Linked DNA regions of Cricetulus griseus. The protein of the gene in region 1 interacts with the protein of each later gene in a pairwise test. Links are inferred from orthologs where the notes say so. Each region holds a gene or a part of one and is shown on either strand. Other genes may lie near its edges.

Region 1 (6,337 bases):
TTTGAACATATTCTTCACTATGACAGGTAAGCTCATGAGCTAGACAAGTTTAGGGTAGACGGCAGGGTGAGAAGAGCTGAGAGGAGCCAGGATGCCAGCATGGACTCTGTAACTGGTACTTGAGATGCTGAAACAGTCTGGAGGCCAGCATGCACTTTGGTATGCTATTAGGCACCACGGTTAGCCATTTTTTCCCAGTTTCTTTTAGACCTGATGCTAAATTCCATTATGGAAGAGAAAATTATTTAGAACCATTTTCCTAAAGTCCAGGATAACAGAAACTACCACCACCACCATCACCATTACCACACCACCACCACCACCCTGTGGACTTCTTTTGAGAATTAAACCAGCAAGCAACAGGTCCTGTTCCATTTAAGAATTTCTAATGTTTTCTTCAAACTTTGCATCCTTGCAGCCTCTGCCACCCATTCAGGCCAATATTCGACCTTTTATTCCGTATCATTTCTCTATACCATCCTTTTCCCTCTTCGCACTCCTGCCTCCTCCTCTGCCTCCTTTTCCTTCCTTCCCATCCCCTGCTTCCTCTCACCTTCCTTGACCCTTTATTTCTCTTCATTTTCTCTCCTTTACCTGCCATCCACAACTGTCCTCTCTGCTTGCTTATCTCAGGAGACAATACACTGCGCAGCAACTGAGCCAAATGCTTCAACCCGCCATTATATAATTGCCTAATTCTTTGGTTGCTCAAATGTCAAAAGAAATAGATGTTGATTTAAGAAAAAACAATACTAATTGCTTTGAAAATTAATAAGACACACACACATAAGTACTTGCAAATGGTCTGCCCCAGTATAGTGCTCAATTATTTTCATCCGTTCATTTTATTTCTCACCCTTTCTCTTCCTCTTCAACAAAGCTCAGGGTATAGAGCAAAGGGATTCTAAATGGTGAAGTCCACAGCAACATCACCACGACTTTAAAACAAATATGTCCTCTTCAACCTAATCTCAGCATCAAATAATCAAAATTCTTAATCTTAACTTAGGTCCACTACACTATGGCCATACTACTGACCAATCCAGATTTTGCGATCATGTATGAAGATGCCTTTCTACTTGTACAAAAGCCAGCACTAGACATTCTGTTGAAAAGCCAGTGGTTTGTTTTGTATGACTTTGCTCTAGTGGCAGAAGTTGTTTTGCTGTTGTTTTGTTTGGGGGAAATACCAAACAAAACAACAATTTTTTTCTTTATGTAAATTAACCAAAGCTAGGTGTGGCAAAGCACAGCTGTGATCCCAACGCTCGGGATTCTGAGACAAGAAGATTGTGAATTTGAGCCCACCCTGGGCTACTAACAATAACCTGTTTCAAAATAACAATAATAATAATAATAAATATTCTCTCAAAAATCAGTAAGAAATTAGAGACCATTATGTTGAAGAGTATTACTCAAAGTGTGATCAGAGGGGAAGTCCTCATACTGTTTGCAATCAGTACAGAAATTGAAATGTTTCTAAACCTTTTCAGCACTTCGTTATTGTCCTAATGGTCAAGTCCTACTGATCGATAGACTTTTCTTATTTGAGAACCCAGCAGTTCAGATATCATATTACTGAGCTGCAGGAGGCTGGGGCAGCTTATTGGTAATGCATAAAGGATTCCCATGCTAGCCAGCCAGAGACAGAATGGAAAGGAGTAAAGAACTGCCCTTCTGCATCAAGTGGATTAAAAAGAATGCCAGCATTTTATGCCGTCGGATAATTGATCTGCCAATATTCAAAAGTTAATTTTTAAAGTAGAAACATCAAATGATATTGCAATATGTCTCATGAAAATTTGTGTATTGTCGCTAAGCTTTCATCTTTGAGAGTGCCCTGCCATCTTGTGGTTGTAGATGTTTCTATAACAGAGACCCATTATCTTAGGCTTAGCCCAAAGAACTAAAACAATCCGCCCCAGAGCAAGCGCTTCAAAGAGGCTTTTAAGCCCATTTTCAAAGAATGGAATGGACATTAGAGAAAGGAAAGAAAAACATTTTCCCATGTCTCTTCATGTGCTTATCAACTTACCTACTTTGGAGACTTATGTATCCCTCTCTGGCCTGGATGTCACCGTGTAGATCAGGATGGCCTCAAACTCATAGAGTTGCCTCAGCCCTCCAATTGCTGGAACTGAAGGCGTGGGCCACCACCCCAGGCTCACCCAGCTCTTGGAACAGGGCTTCACGACCTTAGACGTCTGCTTGATCTCAAAATGCTCTATGGGTGTGTTTAGAATGAATCACTTTCTACTCTGTTGTATTGGCGAGAGGGGCGGGGGGAAAGACCCTACTGTGTCTACCAAACATTCTCGTTCAAATCACGACAAAAAGGGAGTAAGTGAGGCTGTAGGTTCGAGCACACTAACTTTGGCTGGTTTCTAGAGGACAGGAAATACTGTGCAGAGAGTAGACGACTGAGAAGGGAAAAACCACAAATCCCAGGATGCCAAAGTGACAGCCTACAACTCCCAGCATGCTCGAGGAATAACAGGGCGACTGCGCAGATTGGCGCGCGGGTGCTCCTGGGACGTCAGCATGGCGGCGTTCGCAGATTTGGACCTAAGAGCGGGCTCGGACTTGAAGGCTCTTCGGGGACTGGTGGAGACCGCTGCTCACCGTGAGTCTACTGGCTTCGCCCCGCGAGCCCGGCCCCTCGCTGCCCCCATACCACCGGTTTGCTTGGTAGTTTTTCCAGGCCCTATTATTGGGTCTCTCGTGGGATTGCGGCATTTCCCTAGAGGCAAATGGTAGTTGCTATGTCTCCCGGATCCCTGGCGTGTGAAACTCACAGGCTACTGAGGAAGCTGCCGTTGCCTGGGCTTGCACAGTCTTTCCGTGCGGAGGGAGAGAACAGAGGCCAAAGGGGTCGAGGTGTTGGCAAGGGGGCTGTGAGCTGATGAATGGTAGGCTCTGGGACTGGACTCCAGGTGTACAGTCCCCTAAGCCGGTGGGTGCTTTTAACGTCAGTCCTTTTGGGCCCCGACGACATCTGACAAATACAGAAAGCTGGGTCGCAGGCAGGAACTGCTGTGGACTCTTAGAGAATGGGGAGGGTGTTACCTTATTTCTCCCGAGTTTTAAGTTCCTTGGGGATGAGCATTAATCATGTGTGCTGTCGCCTGCCATAGGGTCTGTCAAATAATGGATGCTCTAATAGCTTGAACTCGGGAGTTATTAGACTAGTTTGCCATTACCATGCACTATCTTTTATATTAATACTCTATCATCTTGTTGGTCTTTAGACAACTTAAAGACAAGAGTCGTGATTTAGATGTGTTGGCGACAGAGGCACTTTTCCAAGCAGTGCTAACTGTTGTGAGGATAAGGCAAACCGTCGTTTTCCCTGTCTTTTACTGTAGAGCACCTCAAAAGAGGTGTAAGGGATTCGTCCTTCCATTGCACCTTCGGGTAAGGGAGGAAATAGAGCATCGCAGAAGAAATGAATGATAATGAAGGTGACGGAAAGACACATAAACTTGATGGAATAAAAATGAACAAAGGGGCAGGAAATCCTGAGAATATTGTTTGGAAAGCAGAAACAAGGTGTTTTTAGTGTTTTGCTAGCATAAATCACAGCCTAAATATGTGCCTGGCACTCTTCTAAAATGCTTAATTTTCATGACACTCTGAAGTGCTGTCTGCTGTTAACATCACTTGACAGATGAACAACCTGAAACATAACAGTAAATATTATTAAACCCTCTTACTTTCCAAGTCTAGAAACAGAATCCAGGGCTTTGTGTATGCTAAGCAAGCATTCTAACACTTAGCTACATCCCTAACCTCATCTCATACTCTTGAACAAGAAAGAATATTTTTTAAATAATCTATTTTTTTTTCAGTTGGATATTCAGTTGTTGCCATCAATCATATTGTTGACTTTAAGGAAAAGAAACAGGTAAAATAAGATTTCTCTGATTAATTAGTAAATAAATATTAAGACTTTACAAGCCCAGCAGTGGTGGCACACGCCTTTAATCCCAGCACTCCAGAGGCAGAGGCAGGCAGATCTCTGAGTTCAAGGCCAGTCTGGTCTACAAAGCTACACAGAGAAACCCTATCCCAGAAAAAAATATCAAAAACAACATTTACAAATATTTGTATTTGTGTTGGGAATAAGGAACTAGAAATGTGGACTTGTTGCAATGACCACATACTTAACAAAAACAACACAAGGAAGGAGGAGTTTATTTTCTTATACTTTGAAGGTATGGCAGCAGGAGCATGAAGTGGCTAGTCACAGTTCCTCCTCGGTCAGGAAGCAGGAGATGAATGCTGGGGCTCAGCTCACTTTCTCCTTTTTAGTTAGTTCCCTTAGAACTCCAACCCATGAAATAGCTCAGTTTGCATTCAGGGTGGGTCTTCCCTCCTGGGTTAACCCTTTATGGAAACACCATTATAGAAATACAGAGGTGTGTTTCCATCATCATTTCTAAGTCCAGTAAAATTGGTAGTGAAGCATAAGTCATCACAAGCATGTTTGCGTTTTGAGACAGAATCTTATGTGTCCCAATCTGGCCTGGAATTCAACTGTGTTGCCAACGAAGACCTCCTGCTAAGATTACAAGCCCATGCCCAGTTTATGAGATGCAGGGGTAGAAGGCAAGGTGGTGTGCATTTTAGAAATCACTCTACCTCTACTTACTGAGCTGCCATGTGGCAAGTCTTCTCTGTACTGCTAGCTCCCAAATAGTGAGACTTCTTATTATGAAAACTTGGCCTTAGCTGAGGGTTGTTTCTAACTAGCTCTTATGACTTAACCCATTTCTGTTAATCATCGTGCTGCCATGTAGTTTATGGTTTTTACCTCTCCTCCTACACGTCATGCTTCTTCTGAGTCCAGCTGTGACTCCCCCTTCTTCCCAGAGTTCTCTCTGTCCAGAAGTCCCACCTATACCTTCTACATAGCTGTTGGTCATTTAATATTTATTAAAACACAGTGACATATCTTTACACAATGTAATCAAATACCTTGCAACACTGTGTCTCCACCCTCTCTACTCACTGGGCTGCATCCCCAACCCTCAACTATACTTCTTTAAAAACACCCTATGCTTACTCTTTTACAGTAATAACTGAACTAATATATATCATACAAATTCAAAGATGTTTAAAATTACATTGCTGTTAAATGAGCTATAACCACGATATCTTGTTACCATGGTCTTATTAACTCATTTACTGATTTTTTTCCCATTTATTTATTTATTTATTTATTTATTTATTTTTCCGAGACAGGGTTTCTCTGTGGCTTTGGAGGCTGTCCTGGAACTAGATCTTGTAGACCAGGCTGGTCTCAAACTCATAGAGATCCGCCTGCCTCTGTCTCCCGAGTGCTGGGATTAAAGGTGTGTGCCACCACCACACCTTTAATAGACTATCAAATACATATGTATGCATACTTATTTTTAATTAAACAACTGTACCTTATAGGTCATTTCTGTCTTTAAAAATTGTTCTTATTTTTATCCTCTGGTGTTCTGAGCATCTTCTCTGCTCTTTAGTTTCTTTCCTTAAGAAAGAAAAAGGCTGTTTAGTACATTTGAATACCAGAAATTAGCTTTTTTTGATTTTTTTTTTCTGAGATGCCCTTAAAGTGTTTTGTAGTGCTTAGTTCTTTAACATGTAACTAGGATTGCTGTTTATCATTTGTTGTAGGAAATTGAAAAGCCAGTAGCAGTTTCTGAACTCTTCACAACTTTACCAATTGTACAGGTAGGCGTTTTAGTGTTTAAGTGTAGTGTCTGCCCATTTAATTCAAACATCTCGCCTTCCTGTGGTGTTCTCTGCTTTCTGCCAGTTTCACCTTCCCATCAGGGCTCGTCTCTTCATCAGTTTTTACTGTCCATCCGAACTTTTTGGTATCCTTCCTAAAGTCCCACAGCTATTAAATTATCTCATTGTGTAGTTTACTAGATGTGCGTAGTATTCTCTTCTGCTAATATATATTCCTGTAGAACAAGCATGCTTTGTTGATCTGTACCGTCCTCTGTAAATTTTACTATTTTGTACTGGTTAAAAAAAGAAACAAATCAATTGCATTTTATCTTTTTTAATAATGTATTTTTGTTTATAGGGAAAATCAAGACCGATTAAAATTTTAACTAGATTGACAATTATAGTTACAGATCCGTCTCACTGTAACGTTTTGGTGAGTTTGTTGTTTTTCTACATTTGGCTTCTAAACTATATTAACTAACATTGTCACCTGTCATCTCACCCTGTTCTTCCACCACCTGTAACCCTCAAACCCATGACACCTTCCTGCTTTCCCTGTGTGTAGAAGCCGCACAATATAATGTGTCTCTTACAAAAAGTTAGAAGGTGCCAG
Region 2 (6,448 bases), on another chromosome or scaffold:
GGGGCCTTGGTCCTGCCTCAACAAGATGATGGGACAGACTTAACAGATTTTCTAGGTGAGGCCTTACCCTCTCTGACAAGCAGATGGGAGGTGGGGTGGGTGGAAGTGGGGGGGGGAAGACGGGGGAGTGGGAGGAGATGAGGGCAGGGAGGGGGAACAGAGATTGGAATGTAAAAACTAATTATTTATTTTTATGTGTGTTTTCCCCACATGTACACGTGTCCTAGCATGTACATGTACCAGCGGTCTATTGCTCACACACATATGTATATGTATCTATATATGAGCACTATATATGAGCCACTGCACATGTGTGGAGGTGAAAGAAAATTCTCAAGAGTCTGCTCTTTCCTTCCACCATGTGGGTTCCAGGAACTGAACTCAGGACATCTTGCCATCCCTCACACTGCTTTATAAAGAGACCTTCTCACTCAAGTGTGATAGCTCCCATATAAACCCTTCATCTTTACAAAGATGGGCAATGATATTACCAATCTAGACTATAATTTGATAGCTGTGCAAAAACAAACCGTGGCCTACCAGGTTCCTTGTCAATACAGGGCACACTGGAATAACCTACCAGAACTCATTATTTCTGAAAGTTGGCTTTTGCAAATTCCAGTATACCTTTAAAAGATGATATTTCTGTGTTTCTTACAAAGTACTCTTCTAGGCCAGGAGTGGTGTTGCTTACCTTTAAGCCCAGTGCTTGGGAGGCAGAAGTAGGTGGTTCTGTGAATTCAAGGCTAGCCTGTTCTATAGAGCAAACTGCAGGACAACCAGGGATATACAGAGAACTTTTCTCAAACAAACAACAAAGTTTTCTTCATTTTAAAAAAGTATGTAGACAGGCTGACTTCCAACGGCTATGTAGAGGAGGTTTACCTTGAATTCTTATTCTACTTTCACTTACCAGGGGTAGAATCACAGATGCTAGAATTATGATAGGTGTGTGCCCAAGTGACAGGTATGACCCATCATTTCACCACTGGGCTAGATATACTCTTAGTCCCTTTTCTAGAATGTCTTATGAAAACCTAAAGAATCTTACTTAATCTGCCAAGTAACTCATACCTCCCCAAACAGGTCCTTCAGGGCTGAAACAAGCAGTTGTTTGAATTGGGCTGTATTCAGTCCAACTCCGTGTTCTTGAAACTCTCTGGAAAAAAAAATATTAAAAAGAGAAATTATCATATTAAACTCCATGCTTTTCAGATTGGGGTGGGGGGAAACATTATAAGACTGAACTTACAAGCAGACTTTCATGTAGTGGTACTCCGAGGGGCTCTTGTAAACTAGTCTTTCATATGCTGTAGCTGGCATCTTCAAACATGGAGTTCCTACAAGGAGTCAAGAGCGCTCATAATTACCAGATACACCTTATTATTATTAGTAGTAGTATTGTGTTTTTAAATTGAGAAAGACTTGTTATATAGCTAAGGCTAGCCTTGAACTGATCCTCCTGCCTTTCTCTAGGAAGGACAGAGATCACCAGCTAGAATGTCAGCACATCCAGCCTATTTGACTTTTAAAGACTTATTATAGTACTTTATGTAACCCTGGTTAGACAATGGTGGTGGTTAATGGTCACATGACAATGCATATTTCCTTAATGACCAAAAGAAAGTTAAAATGACACACTGTATATTTTACTCTTTTTAAGGGCACTTGCTGCTCTTGTAGAGAAGCCAGGCTGGGTTTCCAGTACCCACAGGGTCTGTACTCCAGTTCCAGAGGATCCAACACCCTCCTCTGGCCTTCCTAGGCACTGCAACAACATGGTGCATAAATACAAATGCAGGCAAATCCTCCATACAATTAAATAAAAATAAACTAACCTTTAAAATGATGACTTAAAGAGTCACTTTGTATAGTCTTAAGCTCTCAGAGTAAAATCTAGTATCGTCCTCAGTAGTTTGGCATCATACTCAACAGGTTCAAGATGTATACCTCTTACAGTCACTGTTGATACCTTTTTCTGATTGCAGGGATGTTGCTAGCAAGTTACTTGGTTTTGATCTTCTGCCCCCCTCTCTAATCTATATGGCTGCTGTGAACGTGTTAAACCACATCACAGCTAGGTGGTGATGCTAAATGCCCTTAATCCCAACACTCAGGAGGCAGAGGCAGGTGGATCTCTGAGAGTTCCAGCCAGCCTACTACAGATCCATGACAGCATGACAACCAGGGCTACCCACAGAGACCTGTCCTGAACCATCACCACTCCACCCCCCCCAAAAAAAAACAACAAAACCCAAAATGCCTCATATCACAACTCTGCTCAGACGTAGTGATGCTTCTGATTTTATGCAGAGTAGGGTGGAAATCTTTGAGGTCCTGCTTTGACCTCATGTACAGTCAGGGACAGCAAGAGAGAGGAACCAAGAGGACAAAAGAGAAACAAAAGAGGGTGTGAATAATCAAGAGAACCAAGAGGGCCGGTGTTGCTGGCACACACCTTTAATCTCAGCACTCGGCAGGCAGATCTCTGTGACTTCGAGGCCAGCCTGGTCTACAGAGCTAGTTCCAGGACAGCCTCCAAAGCCACAGAGAAACCCTGTCTTGAAAAACCAAAAAGAGAAAAAAAAAAAAAAAAAAAAAGAGAAGCAAGAGGAAGAGAAGAACCAAGAGAGCTGAGTTAATAATCAAATAGCTGAGTTACACAGGAACGAAAAGCTGGGCCTGAGGTGGTTAGGGGAGGGAGCAGGACTTGTCAGCCAGAATAACTGTAATAGGTACTTGTGAGCAGGGACTGAGGGGGCCTAGCATAGCCCTTGATATGCTAATAAGCACCACAGTCATAGGTTAAAAGAGGAGCCCAGTGAACCTTTAGCCAGAGGTAAGTGGAGAATGACTCAACTGTCTTAAATTCCAGAGGGAATGGCAGCTTTTGTCTAAGTGCCAGACCGGAGAAAAGGAATTCCTCTGGGGGTGGGGGTGGTATTCGAGACAGAGTGTGTAACAGACTTCTGACTGTCCAGGAACTCACTCTGTAGAGCAGGCTGGTCTCGAACTCATAGTGATCCATCTGCCTCTGCCTCCCGAGAGCTGGGATTAAAGGCGTGCACCACCACTACCCAGAGAACAGGAATCTTGTGAGACCTAACACTCTAGGCTTCCTCCTCCTCTTGGCCTCGGCTAAGACTAGTTTCTCTGCAACCCAGAAGCCGGTAGCCACGTGTCTCACACTTCCTAGCCTCCTTCATCTTACTCAATGCGTTCCACGGCTCAATCTGATCTACGATGGCGCCAACCCCTCCTTGCCCAGTCCTTGCAACCCTTAAATTCTAACAGAACTACAGAATATCTAATCTCCACTTCCTTCCTCCTGCCTCTCACAACGCCTGTACTCCGAAAAACAATGTTTAGTCCCTATGGCTTCTACCGGATTCAAACGTGCCTTGCACATTGAAGCACACGAAACACAACTCTGGGACTCATGGGAGCAAAGCAGCCGTGGAAGAAGCCCGGCCCCCTACTGCTCTAAGAGTTATGCGGTTTGCAATCTTGCTCGACAACAACCGCCATCTACTTGGCGCCCACCACGAGGGGAGTGCGCTACCTTCAACCTTCCCCGCCGTCTGGAACCCGGACCGACCTGCCAGCCGCACCGCCTCGCGCATGCGCACCCGCACAGGCCGCGGGCCGTTAAGAGGCTCCGGCGGCGCTGGATCGGCCGCGTCCCTGTCTCCTGCGCGCTGCTAGAACCGGGCGCGGGTCGGAGTTCCCACGCAGCAGCCCAAGTCTGGGCCTGCAAATGTGATGTGTTTACATTTGCCTCCGCCCCGCACCTCCCCACAGACGCGACGCGCAAGCGGAAGTGACATCACTGCTCGGCGTCGGCCCCCTAGACGGTGGCATGGTCCTCAGCCGGGCTGAGGTCGATGGGTTCAGCGCCCCCTGGCGCCCATTTCCGGAACTTGCATTTGTGGCATGTTTTTTAGGCGCTAGCAATCTTCGTGGTCATTTATCTCTACATTCATTTGCAACAGTTTATATCAAACATCTCCTCTCTTAGATTATTTTCCTTGTTTTTTTCTTCTTTCGCTGTGCCAGGGATCAAAACCACCGCTTCATCTATGCTAAGCAAGTCCTCCACCACTAAGCTAAATCTAAGCCTTGTCCTCTTCAAGAACATCTCTCAGGCACCAGACAAGATCCACTGTCAGTGGCCCTTTATGGCTCCTATCACACAGTTCTGTCTTGACATGGAAAGATCTAGCTGCTCCTGTATCCAGATGTAAGTTATTCCACTTTTGATTTACTCACCAAGAGTTTGTTCTGAATTCACTATGTGCTAGCCGCCATTCTGGGCGGTGGGAGCTCAGGAGCATAAGGTATAGTCCCTCTCTATGTGTGACATATAGTGTGTATTTAATAGTAACAATAGCAAATTAATATTACTTGGTGCCAGGCATTGTACAAAAGATTTTACCTAAGTTATCTAATGGAACCCTCAAACAACCTTGGGGTAGCTATTATCCCAATAGGGAAAGGTTAAATTATCTGCCCCCACCCCATCATGATTACAAGTGGTATTACAGATTATCTGCTTTGGCCAGTAATGTCCAGACTACACCATCTTAAACCAGCTGGAGTCTGAGGTGATCTCTGTGTGTGGGGACTTGTGTGATGGCTTATCACTGCCTTGTATGCCTTGGTACCAGCGGTCACTCAGCTTGTACTTACTAAAAATGTTTTTGATTTGGCCTGAGCTAGACATGGCAGTGGGCATAAAATGTATGCCTTGCACAGCCAATCCTGTGCCTAGGCCAGTTGGGGCCTTCTCTATAACTGAGAAAAGAACCTAATATTTGTTGTTTCCTAAAACTCTGTCATTCTTGTCTTGGCCATGCTCTGTAGTCATGTGGCTTCTGCTCCTTCCCCCTCAGGGGGGACAGGACTTGTTTCAGATGGGGAATAAATGGAGGAAACTAACACTGACACTAGATAGTGACATTTTCTTTCTCAAAAAAAAGTTTGGATTTTGGAAGTTGCCAGAACTGGCTTGGAATCCAGTTCTTCACTTCTTGTACAGATAGATCATCACCAACTTCCTTGAGGAGTTGTAAGAAACTCTTTTGGCAGTAGAAGGAATTAGGTGTCTTGTAAGAAGCTGGTGCATATTTAACAGACACTATGAATTATGAGTCTGAAATAGCTCTCTTAGGTTATCAGTCACCTTCAAAGTATCTATGTTTAATTATACATACCAAGTCAGTTTCCATCTGGTCACATACACTTGGTGACATGCAGGATTTCGTGGAAAATCTTTATCTTTTAACTCAACCACTACAGCTCTCAGTCCATCCTATTTCACTTACCATTAATTTGTGTGTGTGTGTGTGGGGGTGTGTGTGTGTGTGTGTGTGTGTGTGTGTGTGTGTGTGTGTGTGTGTGTGTGTGTTTTGGTTTTTCAAGACAGGGTTTCTCTGTGTAGCTTTGGAGCCTATCCTGGCATTCACTCTGGAGACCAGGCTGGCCTCAAACTCACAGAGCTCCACCTGCCTCTGCCTCCCGAGTGCTGGGATTTTTTTTAAAGATTTTATTTATTTATTATGTATACAACATTCTACTTCCATATATATCTGCACACCAGAAGAGGGCACCAGATCTCATTACAGATGGTTGTGAGCCACCATGTGGTTGCTGGGAATTGAACTCAGGACCTCTGGAAGAGCAGCCGGTGCTTTCAACTTCTGAGCCATCTCTCCAGCCCACCGAGTGCTGTGATTAAAGGCATGTGCCACCAACGCCCGGCATGTTTAACTTTCTATCGTGGTGTCTCATACATGTTTGTAAGCCTTCCTCAGCCCTTCCCAAAACACACAAGTAAGTACACGGTTACTTGTCTTATGCAGGGTTACTATTACTGTGATGAAACACCATGACCAAAGGCAAGTTGGGGAGGAAAGGGTTTATTTAGCTTACACTTCCACACCATAGTCCATCACTGAAGAAAGTCAGGATAGGAACTCAAATAGGGCAGGAACCTGGAGGCAGGAGCTGATGCAGAGGCCATGGAGTAGTTCTGCTTACTGGCTTACTCAATCTGTTTTCTTATAGTACCCAGGACCACCAGTGCAAGGATGGCACCACCCACAATGGGCTGGGTCCTCCCCCATAAATCTCTAATTAGCTCTACAGACTAGCCTACAGCCAGATCTTTTTTGTTTTATTTTTTGAGACAAGGTTTCTCTATATAACAGCTCTGCTGTCCTGGAACTTGATTTATAGACCAGACTGGCCTCAAAGTCACAGAGATCCGCCTGCCTCTGCTCCTGAGTGCTGGGATTAAAGGTGAACACCACCGCCACGGCCCAGTTTACAGCCCAATCTTATAGAGGTATTTTCTCAATCGAGATTTCCTCCTGTTTCCTGTGATTATAGCTTGTGTCAAGCTGACATAAATCTAGCCAGCAGAGTGTTTTGATGGTAGGCATCCTGG

The links.
Region 2: the proteins of Rpp30 (region 1) and Rpp14 interact in binary tests that used the Homo sapiens proteins (3 or more experiments, as listed by UniProt). The link is inferred for Cricetulus griseus from reciprocal best matches to the Homo sapiens genes RPP30 and RPP14.

Annotation. Positions count from the first base shown.
Region 1 is NC_048596.1:25,690,083-25,696,419, reverse strand, and holds the start of Rpp30 (ribonuclease P protein subunit p30), read left to right. Parts: upstream 1-2,475; 5' UTR 2,476-2,541; coding exon 2,542-2,623; intron 2,624-3,848; coding exon 3,849-3,904; intron 3,905-5,664; coding exon 5,665-5,721; intron 5,722-6,082; coding exon 6,083-6,157; intron 6,158-6,337. UniProt on the Homo sapiens protein: Component of ribonuclease P, a ribonucleoprotein complex that generates mature tRNA molecules by cleaving their 5'-ends. Also a component of the MRP ribonuclease complex, which cleaves pre-rRNA sequences.
Region 2 is NW_023276807.1:76,004,338-76,010,785, reverse strand, and holds the start of Rpp14 (ribonuclease P protein subunit p14), read right to left. Parts: upstream 3,827-6,448; 5' UTR 3,624-3,826; coding exon 3,563-3,623; intron 3,546-3,562; exon of another isoform or gene 3,401-3,545; intron 1,341-3,400; coding exon 1,253-1,340; intron 1,160-1,252; coding exon 1,075-1,159; intron 1-1,074. UniProt on the Homo sapiens protein: Component of ribonuclease P, a ribonucleoprotein complex that generates mature tRNA molecules by cleaving their 5'-ends.